Macaca mulatta: one gene and its partner. The protein of the gene in region 1 purifies or fractionates together with the protein of each later gene. This does not show direct contact. Links are inferred from orthologs where the notes say so. Each region holds a gene or a part of one and is shown in the gene's direction. Other genes may lie near its edges.

Region 1 (10,654 bases):
AGAACTGCCTGTGGTACTGAGTACTATATGGAATGTTACATGGCACTATTCAATTGTGCCTGTGAATTTCTTTTTTCTTTTTAAATGTTTGGGTTAAAACACTAGCTTATGCTTTAAACCACTAGAAAAGCTTTGATTGTGTGTGTATGGGTCTGTGTGTGTGTGTGTGTGTGTTGATATTAAATTTAAATTACAGGTTTAAACTTTCCTTGCTTTGATGAAAAATTGAAAGGTTTCTGTTTCTCTACTACTTACCCTAGAAATTTTACTGATTGCTCTGCTGTTGGAGCTGATTTTCTTTTTGTGAGAACATCACACTTGGCAACGTAATAGAGAAAGAGACTAATATGCAAGTGTTCTGTGTTATTTTAAAGCATTTTTTAAAAAATACATACACATTTGTGCCCTTTAATTTGGGAGTAGGATAGGTTCTGTCTGTTAACAAGTTCATTTTCTCTGCTGGCTTTTAGAATGTACTACTTTGATGCTTAAGCGATTTGTTGCCAGAACAGTTCCTTAAAGGAAGCTTTATTCTCATTAGCCAAAATACAGATACCTTAGTTACCCTTGGTCTGGGTAGAAGAATGAGTGAACTGTAATTGAGGCATTTGTTCCCTTATTTCCCTTTAAAAATATGTCTCCCCTTCTGGTTAGTAATTACCATTGACCTGCCACCCTTGATACGTGATCACTGCAGGCTTCACCATGCTTTCTACTATGTAGTTCAGCACGAAACAAAAATTCTGAGAAAATGAGCCTGATTTCTCTTTCCATTCTGACTTTTGATGTTTGTGGGTCCAAATTTTATTTGGCTCTGACTTCTCATATATCTAAATTTTGATAGAGCTCCTGTATCAGTGTCCAGGAACCTAAGGGAGAACACTGGCCACTGTTTTTCATAACCTAAAGGTAGTGAGATACAAATGCCAACATTTGTTCTCTTGAGCCCTTTCTTGTGAAGTTTGTTGTTTGCCTTTACTGATGCCTTCTGTGATTTTTACCCTTTATTTCCCTTTTTTAAAATAACCTTTGAAAAATGTGTTGGCATTTACTTTAACCGTTTATCCTTTTTTTAAATTTTTTTATTAACCTTTTTTTTTTTTTATTTGTTTGTTTAACTGACATATGATTTACCTCTATCCTATAAGGCATTGTAGTCTCAGAATAACGCATAAGAATTAGTGTTTCTGGCTGGGCATGATGGTTTGCACCCAAGTAATCCCAGTTGCTCTGGAGGTTGAGGTAGGAGCATCACTTGGGGCCAGGAGTTCAAGACCAGTCTGGGCAAGATAGCGATACTCTGTCTCTAAACTTAAAAAATAATAATAATTAGGGTTTCCTGGATAAATAGTAATTCTAATATGAAAGAAATAAGATGTTTCTGGGTTGAATCCCATGGTTTTGAATTGTATTGTAAAGAAACATAAGTAATTCAATGACTTATAAGCACATCAAATGTGATTGGAATTATTTAGACTTTTGTGGACTTATCGGTAGACAAACTGAAGGCATAATTAGGTGAACATAACAGCTTACCATTTTTGTTTGCTGAGCTCTTCTCAGTCTGTTTTCGTGAATGAGAACTCTGACAGTTTCCCAGATGACCAGCCTTGACACCACATCTTCAAGGGGTAGCTCAGTGAAGAAACACTGCCCCTGCGCTTAAAGGCCGTCTTGACCCACCTAGCCTTTGTCCAAATCTCTAATATTCCTGGAAATTTAACTCCTTTTGAAAAATGGGTCGAGCCAACACCACTTTAAAGGTTACATTAAATTCATGCATGCCACTGGCTCATTGACTCCTCACATTTTCCACACAGTGGACAAAACAATGACAACAACTGCTTCTAACTTAAAGAATTGTCATAGCTTAAGGATGGTCATGAATTTTTTACACTTTGAAAGATGATGTTCTTGGGGCCAGGTGCAGGTGGCCCATGCCTGTAATCCCAGCACTTTGGGAGGACAGGGGGGTGGATCACATGAGGCCAGGAGTCTGAGACCAGCCTGGCCAACATGGTGAAACCTCGTCTCTACTAAAAATATAAAAATTAGTAGGGAATGGTGGTGCACGCCTGTAATCCCAGCTACTCGGGAGGCTGAGGCACGAGAATCACTTGATCCTGGCACCAGAGGTTACAGTGAGCCAAAATTGTGCCACTGTACTCCAGCCTGGGTGACACAGTGAGACTCTGTCTCAAAAAAAAAAAAAAAGATTATGTTCTTGGGAATAGTAGGGCTCATACTGTATGTTGAGGATTTTTTTTTTTTCTTTTTTTGAGACAGAGTCTCACTCTGTCACCCAGACTGGAGTGCCGTGGTGAGATCTCGGTTCACTGCAACCTCCACTTCCCAGGCTCCAGCAATCCTCCCACCTCAGCCTCCTGAGTAGCTGGGACTATGGGCATGCGCCACCACGCCTGGCTAATTTTTGCATTTTTAGTAGAGACAGAGTTTCACCATGTTGCCCATGCTGGTCTCAAACTCCTGAGCTCAAGTGATCCACCCACCTCAGCCTCCCAAATGCTGGGATTATAGGCATGAGCCATCATGCCACTAGCTCAGTCTAGGGTACTAGATTGTGTACCCTAGCCAATCTTTTTTTTTTTTTTTTTTTTTTTTTTTTTGTTGAGACAGTTTCACTCTGTCACGCAGGCTGGAGTACAGTGGCGCAGTCTTGGCTTACTGTAACCTCTGGTGCCAGGATCAAGTGATTCTTGTGCCTCAGCCTCCCGAGTAGCTGGGATTACAGGCGTGCACCACCATTCCCTACTAATTTTTGTAGTTTTAGTAGAGATGAGGTTTCATCTCTAGCCTAATTTTTTTTTTTCTGAGTCTATTTCTATTATAAAGCAAGACTTAATAGGTTCGCAGAGACCAGGAAAGGAAAAAAAAAAAAAAAGCCAAACAAAAAAAGTCTTTAAATAAAGACTTCATAAAAGAGAGAATTCATATGTAAGTATTTACTAATTTTAGAAATAAGGGAATCCTTATGCGAGAGAAGGCCTAGAGTACAGACAGATAATGGCAGTATTGGATGAATGCTCTCCTAATGGGCCTTGAAAATCCTAGGATGAAGTAGCAAAATTTGAAATCTGTTATACAAAGTACTATTAGAAGACAGTAAAGTAATATTGGGAGAATAAAGTAAAAGCAGATGATGGAGTGAAACGATGGATGACAGTACAGGTTCTTTCTTATGTGAAATATGTAGAACCAGAAGTATTTCAGATTTGGGGGTTTTTTTAGATTTTGAAATATTTGTTTATACTAATGAGATATCTTGGGGTTGGGATCCAAGTGTGAACATGAAATTCATTATGTTTTATATCTACCTTATTATACGTATAACCTGAAGGTAATTTTATACAATATTTTAAATGACTTTATGAGACAAAGTGTGTGTACACTGAACCATCTTACCACCTTTTGTGAGCGTGCTTGCATGGGAGAATCTGGCTGTGCATGGAAAAGGTACATGGCAGCTGACGGGGGCTGGAAGGGTCTTTTTCCCTTGGGGACACTGAATAAACTATGTGTTGTGCACCTGCATTTTGACTGTGACCCCTCACATGAGGTCAGGTGTGGAATTTTCCACTTGTGGTGTCATGCCAGTGCTCAAAAGTTTCAGATTTTGGAGCCTTTCTGACTTCAGAATTTAAATCACGGATGCTCAACCTGTAGTAGTATTAGTGTAAATTTAAGATAATGGTGTCACCAAATAGAGAGAGGTAATAAGAATGAATGACTTGATGTGAAAAATTGTGTATTAGCTTGAGATTTTACCTTAACAAATTTTACCTTATTTAGTAACAAGAGAATTGCTTCAAAAGAGATAGACTGAGTAAACAGAATATAGAACCTACGCCTTTTGATCCTTCTGCTAAAATGTCACTTTTTTCTTGCCTAGTAAATTCCAGTGTTTACTTACTCAATTTAAGATTACCTGCCCTTCCCAGATAAAGGGAATATCTCCTTGCTTTTGTGCCCCACTAGACTTTATATTTGCCTATATGATAGTACCCTGTCAGCTTACTGCATTTTTTTTTTCTTTGAGACGGAGTCCCGCTCTGTCGCCCAGGCTGGAGTGCAGTGGCGCGATCTCAGCTCACTGCAAGCTCCGCCTCCCAGGTTCATGCCATTCTCCTGCCTCAGCCTCCCCAGTAGCTGGGACTACAGGCACCCGCCACCATGGCCGACTAATTTTTTTTGTATTTTTAGTAGAGACAGGGTTTCACCATGTTAGCCAGGATGGTCTCGATCTCCTGACCTCGTGATCTGCATGCCTCGGCCTCCCAAGGTGCTGGGATTACAGGTGTGAGCCACCGCGCCCGGCCAGCTTTTTGCATTTTTATGTTTACATACCTGCTCTGCTTGCATAATGAAACTCTTGAGGATTGAGACAGTGCTGTATCTTGAGGTTTTTCATAGTATCTGATAGTAGGTGCTCAGTAAATATTTGTGAATCTAAATGAATGGAAAGAGGAACAAAGTCTAGAGTTACTTGAAATTTAGTAGAAAGAATAAAGAAGTACCTTATTGAGCCTTGAAGCTATCCAGTATTTATAGAGGGATAAAATTAGACAAACTAAGCAGTTTTGGTAACTTAGGCCCAGATTTAATCACCAAAAAAATTGTCAACTAGTGGCTAAGAATGGTGACAAAACAAGATACATTATTGATAGCATGCATTAGTAAGTTGATTTTTTTTTTCCAAAACTTATTTTTAAATTCTTTTCTTCTCTACAGATTGATAGGCAGCAGTTTGAAGAAACAGTTCGAACTCTAAATAACCTTTATGCAGAAGCAGAGAAGCTTGGCGGCCAATCATATCTCGAAGGTTGTTTGGCTTGTTTAACAGCATATACCATCTTCCTATGCATGGAAACTCATTATGAGAAGGTAACGCTACTTTTGTTTTCACAAAAATCTCTTAAAATCATGAAGAAGGCAAGCTTATTACACATGAATGCTTACACGGTGATAGTTGCCATAAAATATTTAGGGGCATTTATCATTCAAATTGTGTTCCGATGTACAGAGGCACATAGTCCTGAGTCTTTCAAAACAGGTTACAGTTGGTATGTCCACTTGCAGTTGACGTGTCAATGTTCAGACTGGCCTACACTTAAGAAGAATGTAGAAAATCTTTATGTTCTCTTCCTACTCAGCTTTCTGGGAATGTTTTTACTTTATTTCCCTAAATGTCACTCTCTTCTCCCACCTGAGTTCTTACCTTCTCTTCCCAGTTGGCTGCTAGCTCCTGAATTGCTTATTTCCCAACTTAAGATGACCAGAAGTCAAACCTCCCACCTCCCCATTTTGTCAGTAGCACCCCTGTCTTTTCAATACCATCTTTGGGCATGAGGGATGAAGAAGAGGGAAAAATTAATCTGTTTTCAAAGACTGAAATATCTTTCATTTTCACAGTCATTCACTTTTTGTGATTTCCTCTGCCTCTATCCTAGGTTATGCCCTTATTCTGTCTCTCCTAGACTATTGAAATAGTGTGACTTGTCTCATTTCTTCCCTCCTTTTGCTTTTCTAAATTATCTGCTGCTGTTTTTATAAAACACAGATTTACTTCCCTTACTGCTTCTGCCAAGTCAGAGACCTTCCCTGGCTTCCCATGTTTTACCACTGAGTAAAGTTCAAGGCCCTGCTCAAGCTGACCGCAGCTTACCTTTCCAGCGCTGCCTCCCATTCCTTCCTTCACTTTCTCCCTCAGCCAAACTCCATCCCTCACTGGTCAGCAAACATACCCACTGTGGTTCTCCACCTGGAATGCTATCTTCCCAGGTTCAAATCCCACCAGTCCCTTGGGTGTCACTTTCATCTAACTTTTTCTCTATTTTAGTCAGAATTCTTTCTCTTCTCTTGTGTCCCTACATTTTATTTGTATCTGTTTTATGGCACTTGCCTCACTCTTCTTTGGAATGTAGCAGTTTATGTTCTTGTCTTATTTGCCTTTCAAGTATGTATTTTTCTTGAGGACAATGCCTTAACCATTTTGTATCCCTCTTTATGCCTGACACCATGCCTTGGGTATATCAGGCACTCATTGAATATATGTTAAATAAATGACTGTAAATTAATCACGGTAGCCCTGGTATATCACTAAATTCTGACAGTGCTCAGAAAACGAAATGCTATAAGAATATATCATACCCCATCTGATAGAAATGTCTTACACTCCATGTAGTGGAGAGTGCATATAGTTGCAGCTAAAGTTTTTGGAGCTGTTGGCTGAAAATGCTGTTGTATTCTTCATTACCATCCTGTTACTATAATTCCATCTCATATAAACAGGTCTATTTAAGTATAGTTATTTATATCCTTCCCCATGTTGAAACAGGAAAAGTTCTCTTGTCCCCCTCGCAGGGTGTGCGATGGGGTGTGACTTGCTTCTTCAGTACCCTGCTGCTCAAACCTCTAGGGGTGCATACAGATGGGCAGGCTGTGGGGCTCCAACCCCACGGCAGTGTCTAGGGGTGAATATTTTACAGCTCCTGAAGCCCCAGTGAGCATATGTTACAGGGTGCTCTTTTAGTTTAGCTGTCCATAGGCGGCTTGTGTTAACTCAGTTAGACCCCTGCCTTATCGCAAGGCCAGAGGGCTTTCTGTATCCCAGAGTTCTTGCCTTGGTGTACCAGAAGAGTCGGATCACATGTGGGCTTGGAGAATGAGTGCAAGGTTTTGTTGAGTGGAAGTAGCTCTCAGCAAATGGGGGAGCCAGAAGGGAGATGGTTTTCCCCTGGAGTCAGGCTGCTCAACGACCGAACTCTTCTCCAACCATCCTGGCCAAACTCTGCATGATTCTGCCAATTGATGGCCTACCGGTGTGCCAGTGTGCTCCTACGCCAGTGTGTTCCTCTCGACATCCAGCCACCTGTGTGTTCCTCCACTAATGTTCACCTCTCGACATCCAGCCGCCTGTTTGCCTGCCTACTAGGGTCTCAGGGCTTTTATAGGCACAGGATGGGGGCGTGGCAGGCCAGGGTGGACTTGCAGCTTTTGGGCAGGAAAACAAAAATGCCTGTCTTCACCTACTGGGCACAGGCCTGGAGGTGGAGTGCTAGCCAGGGACCACGCCCTTCTCCACCCAGCACTTCCCTACCTGCCTGCTTCTGTGTCCTTTTGAAGGGACCATGCTCTTCCCTTCCATATCAATACCACAGAGAGAAGCTTTCATTCCTGTTTAACTTTCAAAATCAGAAATTATCAAGGCTCAGTGTCAGCTTTCAGTCTGTTTCAGTGTATCTCCTCTCTAATACTTTCAGTGAGTGAAGGCTCAGGGGATTTGTTTGCTCAGTAACTATTGGAAAGCCTACTATGTGCTAAGCAAAGTGCTGGCACATAACCGAACAGGACAAACATGGTTGCTGACCTTGTGGAGTTCATAATTAAGTGGTGACAGCTGATAATAACAAGGGAACAAAGACAACAAAATTACACATTATGATAAGTGCCTTAAAGGAAACAAACTGGCCTGTGGTAGAAAATAATAGGCAGGACCTAATCCAGGGTGTATGGTCAAAAGAGGCCTCTGAGGTGGTGACATTTAAGCTGTTGCATGAAGGATGAAAAGCCTGGGGCATTAAGGCAGAAAGATGAACATACACAAAGGCCCAGAGAGCTTGATGGACCCTGAGAACTGAGAGAAGGTGATGCACAGGAGAGGAGGGGCAGAGAATGATGGGAGGTGGATTTGGAGAGGTAAGCAGGAGCTGTAGCTTGGAGTGCCTAGTTCATGGAACGAAGTATAGATTTTATTTTTAGTGCAAGTGGGAAGCTACTCAAAGTATTAAGAGAGTGATGTGATCAGATTTTCATTTTATTTATTTTTGTAATAGAAACAGGGTCTCACTGTGTTGTCCACACTGGTCTCGAACTCCTGGGCTCAAGCGATCCTCCCACCTCAGCCTCTCAGAGTATTGGGATTAAAGGGATGAGCTGCTGTGCCCAGCAAGATTTTCATTTTAAAGAGATCTCTTTGCTTTGTGGAAAAAAGGCATAAGAATAGAAGTAGGGAAACAAGTGAGGAAGTTCCACAGAAGTCCAGGCAAGAGTGAGATAGCCTGGACTAGGAAGGGAGCAGGGGAGGTGCAAAGAGGTGACCAGCTCCAAGGGATATGTTGATAGTCGGCATGAATGTAGGAGGGTTGGGTAAAGCTGAATTCATATGGGTAGAAACTTTATCATCCAGAATGGCTATTTACAGAAGTCCATAATATTGCTAATTTAAGGTAGAAGCACATCTCTTGAGTATTTTATTCATGCTTAGTGAAATATTAAAAGGCTTGAGTTGTCATTACATTTGTTGATAAAATTTTAATTGTATTTGTCAAAGTATATTTGCTGAAATAGAAGTACTGATGTCATTTGTAAAAAGAAATTGGTAATTGGGTGCTAGTCAGTTTATACGAATTATGAGATCTTGGACAAATTAATCTCTCTGAATTCTCTCAACTGTAATATGGATATTAGAATTCATAATTTTCTTCACATGTGGTTAGTGCTTAATAAACAGTGTTTTCTTGAGGTCGATTTTTTTTCTTTTTTTCTTTTTTTTTTATTATTGAGACAGAGTCTCACTCTGTCGCCCGGGCTGGAATGCAGTGGTGTGATCCCACTCCTCCACCTCCTGGGTTCAAGTGATTCTTGTGCCAGTAGAGATGAAGTTTCACCACGTTGACCAGGCTGGTCTCGAACTCCTGGCCTCAAGTAATCCACCTGCGTTGGCCCCCCAAAGTTCTAAGATTGCAGGCGTGAGCCACTGCACCCAGCACCCAGCCTTTATTACTTTTTTAAAAAAAAAAAAAAAACTAGAGATGGGGTCTCACTATGTTGGCTAGGCTGGTTTTGCACTCCTGGCCTCAAGTGATCCTCCCATCTCGTCCTCCCAAAGTGCGAGGGCTACAGGCATGAGCCATTGTGGCCAGCCAAGATAGATTTTAATGAAGTTACCTATGTAAGTTTTAATCAGATATTTGTGAACTCACATATGATTTTTTATTTTCAAGTATAAGTGATCTTTTAGTCAGCTGCTAGTTTATTTGGGTGCTGAAAATACTTAGCTCTCAATTAAAATCCTTCCAATTATGAAATCTTGGAAGATGGTCCTTGATACCAGAAATTCAATGGAAATTGGTTGATCCCAATATGTGTTTTAGCTTGGATTTGTAGACATTGTGTAAGGTCCTATTTTATAGGTCTAAGCAAGGCCCTTTTCTTTTTATAAAGCAAATGTTATAAAGCAAGTAAAGACCAAGTAAAATCAATCCAGAAACCAAATTTAAGGCATGGCCACATTTTAAAAATAGGTGATATTTTGTAGAAAGTGAACACGGATAACTAGATTGTGCAAAATTAATAACTGGAATGATCATAGTTAAGATATGATATACCTATACTTTTAATAGAAGTGTGTATTTGTGTTTTGATAAAATGATTAAAATGTAAGCACAGTTGCCCTCTCCCTTTCCCAGTTTGTCTCTCAGGAATTTTTGTGCTATTATTTTCTACTTACGAAAGGACGGGGTTGAGTCATTTAGTCTCTATTGTTTTAAACACCGAAATTCCTAGTCTACAAACAGTAAGCCAAATATAACAGTGCTTATACTTTGTCATGTGTGTTAAATGTTTTGAAATTGTAAATAGGCCTTTTAAAACTCACTAGAACAATCATGCATTTTTCCCTATAATGTGCTATTTATTGATTTAAAATGAAGATAAAGACTTCAGTGTTACTTCTCTATTGTTGCTACCCATGATAATTAGGGAACAAATGGGCTCGTGGAACGTTCTCCTCTCAGTATCTCTCTGCCTTGTTCATGAACTAGAAAACATCCCTTCTGCCCATGTGCAGAATGTCTAGAAGGAACACAGGAGAGAACTTGGATATGTTCTGAAAACAGTAAGATGTGGTGTTACTTAGCCTCAATCAGGCTATTTTTCTTGAAGGGCTGGAAGGCTTTCTCCAGTTGAATATCCTCAGGGAAGACAGTAGTTTTTTCCAAGATTTGATTGTGTTTCACTTTGTAAATATTATACAAATTGAAGTTTTGTTGAGGATTTGAGAGTGACAGATAACTTTGTTAAATATTATGGTTTACTTTGACATTGATTTACCAAAAATAATAAAGTGTGAATAAAATGTCAACATATGATTTCTTGGGGGTGAGAATGGCGCTTTGTCCTTTCTGAGATTGTGGTATGAGTTTACACATATTAATGCTTTTCCGCTATTAAAGAGACTAAGACTTTTATCGTTTGTTTGTTTTAATTTTTATTTTATTTTTATTTTGAGACTAAGAGTTTTAAAGCATCTTATTTAGGAGAGTGTTGCCTTCACCACAATAGTATAAGAAGATTTAGAGCTTATACAAAAAGGAAAACTGATTGTTTTCTTTCTGAACTGATACCCAAGTGCATATCAATGTTACTAAAGTTTATTAAAAAAAAAAAAAAACAGAAAACTTGCCCAACAAAGTGATACTTGAACCAAATAAAAGAATGCTGTTGCTGTTTCTTTGCTCGTAACCTGTACTCAGAGAAAGGAGACGGAAAGCTGTTCTGAAGGAATCCTTTCTTTGAAACCAGCCATGCAGGCATTTTTCTGAGTGTCTTCCTTAGTATTAATGGACTGGCGTGA
Region 2 (9,760 bases), on another chromosome or scaffold:
TGACATTTAGGTATTTGGGGAGACCAAAGAAAGAGAAGACAATTGTAATCAGACCTCCCTTCCTTCGACCAGAAGTTTCAGATGGGCAGATAACTGTGAAGATCATGGATAATGGCATCCAGGGAGAGCTGAGGAGAACAAAGGTGAGGAATTTAGGGAAGTCAAGCTAGATAACATGGAAAACTAACTCAAGGCAAAGGGATGGAAGCTTGCTTTAGTTTTCTTTTTTTCTTTTTTTTCTTTTGAGACAGAGTCTTGCTCTGTTGCCCAGGCTGGAGTACAGTGGTGCGATCTCGGCTCACTGCAAACTCTGCCTCCCGTGTTCAAGCAATTCTCCTGCCTCAGCCTCCAGAGTAGCTGGGATTACAGGTGCCTGCCACCTTGCCTGGCTAATTTTTGTATTTTTAGTAGAGATGGGGTTTTGCCATGTTGGCCAGGCTGGTCTCGAGCCCCTGACCTCAGGTGATCCGCCCACCTTGGCCTCCCAAAGTACTGGGATTACAGTCATGAGCCACCGCGCCTGGCCTATATTTCTTACAGTGTTTATCACTTACTGATCTGTGTTAAAATTACTTCAGTACAACTCTTGTTTTCTACATTGGATTTTTTCTTTTTTTGAGAGGAAGTCTTGGTCTCTTACCCAGGCTGGACTCCTGTGGTATGATCTCAGCTCACTGCAACCTCTGCCTCCCAGGTTCAAGCGATTCTCATACCTCAGCCACCCAAGTAGCTGGGACTACAGGCACATGCCACCATGCCCTGCTAATTTTTGTATTTTTGGTAGAGGCAGGATTTTCCTATGTTGGCCAGGCTGGTCTCGAACTCCTGACCTGAAGTGATCCACCTCCCTCAGCCTCCCAAAGTGCTGGAATTACAGGCGTGAGCCACTGCACCCGGCCCTACATTAGACTTTAAGTTCATTAACAGTAAAAAATGAATTCATTAATTTCCATGTCTTCATAGGACTTAGCAGCTTACAGCTAGATGGTAGGAGCTAAACAAGTAGTTGTTGGTTTACATGGGCAAATAAGTGACAGAATTAAAACCTTTTGTAAACCTTTCTTCTGCCAGGTACAGTAACTCATGCCTATAATCCCAGCACTTTGCGAGGCTGAGGTGGGAAGATTGCTTGAATTCAGGAGCTCAGCCTGGACAACATAGCGAGACTCCATCTCTAAAACAGAGTAAAATAAAAAATAGAAAACTTTTCTGGCTGAGCGCAGTGGCTCACGCCTGTAATCCCAGCACTTTGGGAGGCTGAGGTGGGTAGATCACCTGAGGTCAGGAGCTCAAGACCAGCCTGACCAACATGGAGAAACCCCATCTCTATTAAAAATATAAAATTAGTTGGGCGTGGTGGCCCTTGCCTGTAATCCCAGATACTTGGGAGGCTGAGGCAGGAGAATTGCTTGAAGCCAGGAGGTGGAGGTTGCAGTGAGCCGAGATCATGCCCGTTGCACTCCAGCATGGGCAACAAGAGCGAAACTCCATCTCAAAAAAAAAAAAAAACACAAATTAGCCAGGTGTGGTGGCACATGCCTGTAATCCTAGCTGCGTGGGAGGCTGAGGCATGAGAACTGCTTGAACCTGCAAGCCAGAGGTTGCAATGAGCCAAGATCACACCACTGCACTCCAGCCTGGGTGAATGAGCAAGACTCCATTTAAAAAAAAACAAAAAAAACCTTTTCTTCATCTAATACTATACCCAAACTGATTCTTGTGCCTTGTCTTCCAGTCTGGTTTAGAAATATATGATAGGCAGTGGCTCATGTCTATAATCCCAGCACTTTGGGTGGCCAAAGTGGGGTGGTATTGCTTGAGGTTAGGGGTTCAAGACCAGCTTGGACAACATGGCGAGACCCCCGTCTCTACAAAATAAAGTAAAATAAATTAACTGGGTGTGGTGGCATGTACCTGTAATCCCAGCTACTTGGGAGGCTGAGGTTGAAGGCTCAAGGCTCAAGGGAGCACTTGAGCCTAAGAGTTGCAGGCTGCAGTGAGCCATGATCATGCGTGTGCCACTGTACTCCAGCCTGGGCAAGAGTGAGACCTTGTCTCAAAAGAAAATAAAAAAAGGAAATACATGAGAATTGACTCCCAAATACCTCTCTTTTATACCAATTTAATACTGTGAGTTGCCGTAATGCTCAATTTCCAAATCTGACTTTTCGCTCCCCTCATCAATCCAGTCTAAGGGAAGCCTGGAGATAACAGAGAGCCAGTCTGCAGATGCTGAACCTCCACCTCCTCCTAAGCCAGACCTGAGCCGTTACACGGGGCTGCGAACACACCTCGGCCTGGCTACTAATGAGGGTAAGGGCTGCCTTGATTTGTAAGATACTAGAACTAGGGGCAGGATTGAGAAGGTTATGAGCTTTAGAGGACATGCGAGGGCTGGGAGATATTACTTGTGTTGTGACTTTAAATACCCAACAGTTGGTACTTGTGCCACTTTGCAACTGGAAGAGAAGAGATGCCATTTAGCTATTGGCAGTGAATGGGACTTTTGCCGGGAAAATGGTCAGCCTCTAGGCAGACCAGAGAACATCATAGGACCTTTTTGGTGCATTTATCCACCCTGAGTTCTGAGCTGGTTTGAGTCTTTAGTCTTGATTTCAGCGAAGGGTATATCCCTACCTTGTCCTCTACCTGTACTTAAGGAACCCTAGGCAGATAAAGTGAACCACTCATAGGCTAGACACAGTGGCTCACACCTGTGATCCCAGCACTTTGGGAGGCCAATGCAGGAGGATTGCTTGAGCCCAGGAGTTTAAGACCACCCTGGACAACATAGCAAGGCTGTCTCTACAAAAAATAAAAAAAAATTAGCTGGGCATGGTGGCATATGCCTGCAGTCCAGCTACTCAGGAGGCTGAGGTGGGAGCCCAGGAGTTCAAGGCTCCAGTGAGCTATAATTGTGCCACTTGCACTCCAGCGTGGACAGCAGAATGAGACCCTGTCTCTTAAACCAAAACACCGCTTGTAAAGTAGTGCCCCCTTGGCCTTTTTTCTTGCAGATAGCAGCTTACTGGGCAAGGACAGCCCTCCGACACCTACCATGTACAAGTATCGGCCGGGTTACAGTAGCAGCAGTACATCAGCTGCCATGCCGCATTCCTCCAGCGCCAAGGTACTGAGTACTCTAAGAGGTGGGGTAATAACATGCCAACTGACAGGACATGGTGGCCCATTCCTATAATCCCAGCACTTTGGGAGGCCAAGGTGGGCGGATCACAAGGTCAAGAGATTGAGACCGTCCTGGCCAACGTGGTGAAACTTCTTCTCTACTGAAAATACAAAAATTAGGCCAGGCGTGGTGGATCACAAGGTCAGGAGTTCGAGACCAGCCTGGCCAATATGGTGAAACCCCATCTCTACTAAAAATACAAAAATTGCGGGATGCAGTGGCTCACGCCTGTAATCCCAGCACTTTGGGAGGCCAAGGCAGGCGAATCACGAGGTCAGGAGATCAAGATGATCCTGGCTAACACAGTGAAACGCTGTCTCTACTAAAAATACAAAAAAATTAGTCAGGCGTGGAGGCTGAGCCAGGAGAATGGCGTGAACCCGGGAGGCGGAGCTTGCAGTTAGCTGAGATTGCGCCACTGCACTCCAGCCTGAGACCTCGTCTCAAAAAAAATGAATAAATACAAAAATTAGCTGGGCGTGGTAGTGGTGGGGCACCTGTAATCCCAGCTACTCAGGAGGCTGAGGCAGGAGAATCGCTTGAATCTGGGAGGTAGAGGTTGCAGTCAGCCGAGATTGCGCCACTGCACTCCAGTCTGGGCGACAGAGTGAGACTCCGTCTCAAACAAACAAAAAAAATTAGCTGGATGTGGTGGTATGCACCTGTAGTCCCAGCTACTCAGGAGGCTGCAGTGAGCCGGAGATCCCACTGTTGGATTCCAGTCTGGTGACAGAGTGAGACTCCACCTCAAAAAAAAAAAATTAAAAAAAGAAGGTCAAGCATGGTGGCTCAAGCCTGTAATCCCAGCACCTTGGGAGGCCGAGGTGGGCAGACCACCTGAGGTCAGGAGCAAAAGACCAGCCTGGCCAACATGGTGAAACCCTATCTCTACTAAAAACACCTATCTCTACTAAAAATACAAAAATCAGCTGGGCGTGGTGGCGGGCGCCTGTAATCCCAGCTGAGGCAGGAGAATCGTTTGAACCTGGGAGGCTGAGGTTGAAGTGAGCCAAGATTGTGCTATCACACTCCAGACTGGGCGACAGGGTGAGACTCTGCCTCAAATACACACACACATACACACAAAACACATGCCAGCTGTTCTGGGAAAAAAAGATTAGGGGAAGGGAAGAGAAGAAAACAAAGTACATTTCACTAATTGTTGGCATTCGTGGAACTGAATCTCCTTGATACTGTGTCCTTCATCAGACTGGGCAATATAGCATAATAGATTAGTGCTTGATCTGAGTTTATAACCCAGTTCTGCCCATGGGCGAGATACTTAACCTTTGTATGCCTTGCTTTCTGTATCTGAAAATGAGATATTTGTTTGAATTCAGTTTTTCTTGAGGGATTAACCCACATAATGCATGTAAGAGTTCTAAGCATATTATTGGCACATAATACTCTTTTTGACCAACTCCTTGGGCTCCGGGGTCTAGCTTGTCACAAGAGGAGCACTAAGAGCCTGCTTTACTTTCTTCCTTAGTTGAGTCGTGGGGACAGCTTGAAGGAGCCAACCTCAATTGCAGAGAGCAGCCGTCATCCCAGCTACCGCTCAGAGCCCAGCTTGGAACCAGAGAGCTTCCGTTCTCCTACCTTTGGCAAAAGTTTTCACTTCGATCCACTATCCAGTGGCTCACGCTCCTCCAGCCTCAAGTCAGCCCAGGGCACAGGCTTTGAGCTGGGCCAGTTGCAATCCATTCGTTCAGAGGGCACCACCTCCACCTCCTATAAGAGCCTGGCCAACCAGACACGCAATGGAAGCCTATCTTATGACAGCTTGCTCACACCTTCAGACAGCCCTGATTTTGAGTCAGTGCAGGCAGGGCCTGAGCCAGACCCACCTTTAGGCTATACCTCTCCCTTCCTGTCAGCCAGGCTGGCCCAGCAACGGGAAGCTGAGAGACACCCACGTTTGGTGCCAACTGGCCCAACACACCGAGAGCCCTCACCAGTCCGTTACGACAATCTGTCGCGCCACATTGTGGCCTCCCTCCAGGAACGAGAGAAGTTGCTGCGCCAGTCACCCCCACTCCCAGGCCGTGAGGAGGAACCAGGCTTGGGGGACTCAGGCATTCAGTCAACACCAGGCTCAGGCCATGCCCCTCGTACTAGTTCCTCCTCAGATGATTCAAAGAGATCACCTTTGGGCAAGACTCCACTGGGACGCCCAGCTGCCCCCCGTTTTGGCAAGCCAGATGGGCTAAGGGGCCGGGGAGTAGGGTCCCCTGAACCAGGCCCAACGGCCTCATACCTGGGCCGATCGATGTCTTACAGCAGCCAGAAAGCCCAACCTGGTGTCTCTGAGACAGAAGAAGTGGCCTTGCAGCCATTACTGACACCCAAGTAAGTATTAGTACTATCCTGACCCTTAGCCATTTCAAATTGGCATACTGCTCTGCAAAAGCCATCAGGGCTTCTGTTGTACATCCTAATGTAGGTGGACCCAGGGGTATCCTGGTAGCTCTTTATTTTCACTTTGACTCCACCTGCCTTCATGGGCAATTCCTGTTAAGAGACTGAAGATTAATACTTTTTCCATAATCCTATCTTCCTAAAAGTATTTGCCTGGGAGTAAGTACATGTTATAGCTGTTACTAGAGAGTAGCAGTAGGGCCGGGCGCGGTGGCTCAAGCCTGTAATCCCAGCACTTTGGGAGGCCGAGATGGGCGGATCACGAGGTCAGGAGATCGAGATCATCCTGGCTAACACGGTGAAACCCCGTCTCTACTAAAAAATACAAAAAACTAGCCGGGCGAGGTGGCAGGCGCCTGTAGTCCCGGCTACTCGGGAGGCTGAGGCAGGAGAATGGCGTAAAAAAAACCCGGGAGGCGGAGCTTGCAGTGAGCTGAGATCCGGCCACCGCACTCCACCCTGGGTGACACAGCGAGACTCCGTCTCAAAAAAAAAAAAAAAAAAAGAGAGTAGCAGTAAATAGGAGAGATTGGGAATCAGGCTTATTTTAAGCAGGGCAATAAAGGGGGACGTTTGGGTAAGAAAGTATGGATATAGAAAAGAACACCAATTTTTTCTTTGAACCTTTGAAACTGTCTCCCTTTCCAATGTTTTGTGTACCATTTCCTGACACCTGTCTCGTCTCTTCTTTCCAGAGATGAAGTACAGCTGAAGACCGCCTACAGCAAATCCAATGGGCAGCCCAAGAGTTTAGGCTCAGCCTCCCCTGGCCCAGGCCAGCCATCTCTCAGTAGCCCCACGAGGGGAGGAGTCAAGAAGGTGTCAGGGGTTGGTGGTACCACCTATGAGATTTCGGTGTGAGCCTTCGGCGCCTCCCCTCCCCAACGCCTCTGCGCCTACACCAAAGGGCCCCAGGTGGCCACCTTCCTTCCCTCAAGGGGCTCCCCTCCCCTGCATGGACATTTTTTAAACCACCAATTCCAAGAGGATGAGGAGCGTTTTCTAAAATGCAGTGGGCTTGGGGAGTCGGAGAGTTGGGGCCCTGAGACTGGGGTAGCAACCCCCTCCTCTTATCTTTTAAGACCTTCCCTTCCTTGATCCCTGGACCAGACTCAGTGGACATTTGTGCAATTGCTCGCCCTGGAGGGAACCAGATCATTTTTAAACCAGAAATAATTTTTTTTATTATTGTTACGGATTCTATTTTTTTCCTCTTCTGCGTTACCAGGTGTGTGTGTACATATAATATATATATATATATATTATAAATATCAAAGAAATTATATATCTATCCTGGGATGGGAAAATGAGGGAGGGATACATATATGGAGGGGGATCTTACTCTTCCCATTCCTCAGACCAGCAGGAAAAGAGGGGAGACGTCAGTCTTTTCCCTGTGGTTCCCTCTCATTTGTTCCAGTTACTAAGGAAATAGCATCCTCTGTTGGTGCTAAGTGTGATTAGGAAGAAGCCTGGGGAGAGGCGAGTCTGGGATTTTGGTCACAAGAGGGAGGGACTTGGAGAGGAGAATTAGTTTTCTAGGCTCATTGGCATTTAGTTTCCCTAGGAAAGGGGTCAAAACTTCAAGACACTGGTGGTGGGGGGAGATCAGGAAAATAACTTGGCCTAGCTCAAACAATACTGGATAATCCCCTCCTTGGGGGAGAGGGATTAGAGTGGGCTCCTTCTACTAGCCCCTTGGAGCCTCCCCTAGCTTACACGGTTAACTTGATTTTAAAATCCAAGGCCAGGAGAGAAGAATCCAAAAAGCAATATTTTTCATCACATGCCAAAAACGGGGGATAGAGAGAAGGAGTGGCAGGCCTAGGCCCCTCCAATTGTCCCTTGGGGGTTACCCCTCAGCCCACCTCACTATGGTGCTGGGTAGAGGGGATACCTGGGTTCTAACCTCTAAATAGGGGAGATCCCAGCCTCCACAAAGAGGCCCTTTTATTTTTTATTCTGATTAGCCATTTTAAACCAACGAGGAATAAAAAGAAATCCTGATCTAACCAGCGCCCCCTGACTTGTGTTATTTTGTCTGGTTGAGACAAGGTGAACGATTTCTGGTGGGAAGTTACCACAGTGACAAACTCATAAGCTTCTCTGGTCCCAGCCCTTCTTTAGGCAAGACTATAATGAAATTAGCCACTTAAAACAACTACTACTAAAAAAATAGAGACCGAGTGTGGTGGCTCATGCCTGTAATCCCAGCACTGAGGGAGGCTGAGGCAGGAGGATCACATGAACCCAGGAGTTCCAGGCCAACCTTGGCAACATAGAGACTCAATTTCTAAAAACAACAGGTCCTGTTTTTATTTGGGTAATTTAATTTAAAAATACCTGGAAAAAAAGTCTCTTGAAACCACCAAAGCTGTTATTTGAAAGCTTAGAGAACTCTTAAAAATTGTTTCTTTCTTCTTTTAAGAGACAGGGCCTCATTCTGGTTGCTTAGGCTGGAGGGCAGTGGCACAATCAGATCACTATACCCTCAAACTCCTGGCCTCAAGGGTCTTCCCACCTCAACCTTCTGAGAAGCTAGGACTTACAGCGGCATGCCACCATGCTTATTTTTTTTTTTTTCAGTAGAAATAGGCTCTCGACCAATTTTGCCCAGGCTGGTCTCGAACTTCTGGCCTTGAGCAGTCCTGCCTTGGCCTCCCAAAGCGCTGGGATTACAGGCATGAGCCACCATGCCCAGCTACAGCTGTTTTTTTTTTTTTTGGGAGTCTTGCTCAGTTGCCCAGGCTGGAGTACAGTGGCGTGATCTCGGCTCACTGCAAGCTCCGCCTCCCAGGTTCACACCATTCTCCTGCCTCAGCCTCCCAAGCAGCTGGGACTACAGGCGCCCGCCGCCAAGCCTGTCTAATTTTTTGCATTTTTGGTAGAGACGGGGTTTCACTGTGTTAGCCAGGATGGTCTCACTCTCCTGATCTCGTGATCCACCCGCCTCCGCCTCCCAAAGTGCTGGGATTACAGGCGTGAACCACTGCACCGTGCCCGGCCTACAGTTGTTTTTTTAATACAGGATTTAGTCTCTGGAAAGTAAAGCTAATTTTGGAAACAGCCAAAGGTGAGATAGATACGAAAGCCTGTTGAAAGCAGGTTAACTAGATACTGGTGTCAGTTCAATTAGATAGACTGTCTTCTATTGGACAAAAGCTGTGCTCTTAATTTTCAGTAGGTATCCTTAGATGCTAAATCTCCAGCAGTTGGCCAGAACCCTTTAATTACTCAAAATGTAAGAATATAAACTCTTCGGTGCGGTGGCTCACGCCTGTAATCCCAGCACTTTGGGAGGCTGAGGTGGGTAGATCACTTGAGGTCAGGAGTTCAAGACCAGCCTGGACAACATGGTGAAACCCCATCTGTACTAAAAATGCAAAAATGAGCTGGGCATTGGTCATGGGTACCTATAATCCTGGCTATTTGGGAGGCTGAGGTGGGAGAATCACTTGAACCCAGGAGGCACAGGTTGCAGTGAGCTGAGATTGCACTACTGCACCCTAGCGTGGGCAACAGAGCAAGACTCTGTCTCCAAAATTAATTAAAAAAAAAAAAAAAAAAAATATATATATATATATATATATATATATATATATAAACAAAAATTAGCCAGGCCTGGTGGCACGCACTTGTAGTCCCAGCCACTTGGGAGGCTGAGGTACAAGAATCACTTGAACCCAGAAGGTAGAGGTTGCAGTGAGCCGAGATCACGCCACTGCATTCCTGTGTAACAGAGTGAGACTCTGTCCAAAAAAAAAAAACACCCCAGCAAACTCTTATTCTGAAATCTGGATTTAAACCAGTTGAATGAGTGGTTTTCCACCCACTGATTGAGGAACAAACTTGGCTTTCACAGCAACAGATTTTAACTGTGTGTTAAATTTAAAGTCAGGTTACATTAATTCAGGTTTTCTCATGGATGTTTTCAGTTACCTAACCAGCTGGAAAAACTAAAGGTTTTTTTTTTTTAAACATTTTGATAGGTTAGGTTACATTTTGTTGCTGTTTTAGAAATGTTTTCACATCAGCTAACTAACTTTATTGTCTTAACTAAGGAGTGAAGCAGGTCAAAAGTTATTGTAAAGAGAAGAGAAGCATTTACCTTTGCTTGCCAGAAGTTCATTTCAAAAGATCACAGGCTTCTGACCT

The links. Proteins that work in one complex are often made in the same cells at the same time.
Region 2: the proteins of GOLGA7 (region 1) and ZDHHC5 purify together in Homo sapiens (co-immunoprecipitation; 3 studies listed by BioGRID and IntAct, with this or other methods). This does not show direct contact. The link is inferred for Macaca mulatta from reciprocal best matches to the Homo sapiens genes GOLGA7 and ZDHHC5.

What each region holds. Positions count from the first base shown.
Region 1 is NC_133413.1:43,565,967-43,576,620, forward strand, and holds part of GOLGA7 (golgin subfamily A member 7), read left to right. Parts: intron 1-4,749; coding exon 4,750-4,902; intron 4,903-10,654. UniProt on the Homo sapiens protein: May be involved in protein transport from Golgi to cell surface. The ZDHHC9-GOLGA7 complex is a palmitoyltransferase specific for HRAS and NRAS.
Region 2 is NC_133419.1:15,692,143-15,701,902, reverse strand, and holds the end of ZDHHC5 (palmitoyltransferase ZDHHC5), read left to right. Parts: intron 1-10; coding exon 11-143; intron 144-2,189; coding exon 2,190-2,313; intron 2,314-3,017; coding exon 3,018-3,130; intron 3,131-4,676; coding exon 4,677-5,536; intron 5,537-6,300; coding exon 6,301-6,466; 3' UTR 6,467-6,799; downstream 6,800-9,760. UniProt on the Homo sapiens protein: Palmitoyltransferase that catalyzes the addition of palmitate onto various protein substrates such as CTNND2, CD36, GSDMD, NLRP3, NOD1, NOD2, STAT3 and S1PR1 thus plays a role in various biological processes including cell adhesion, inflammation, fatty acid uptake, bacterial sensing or cardiac functions.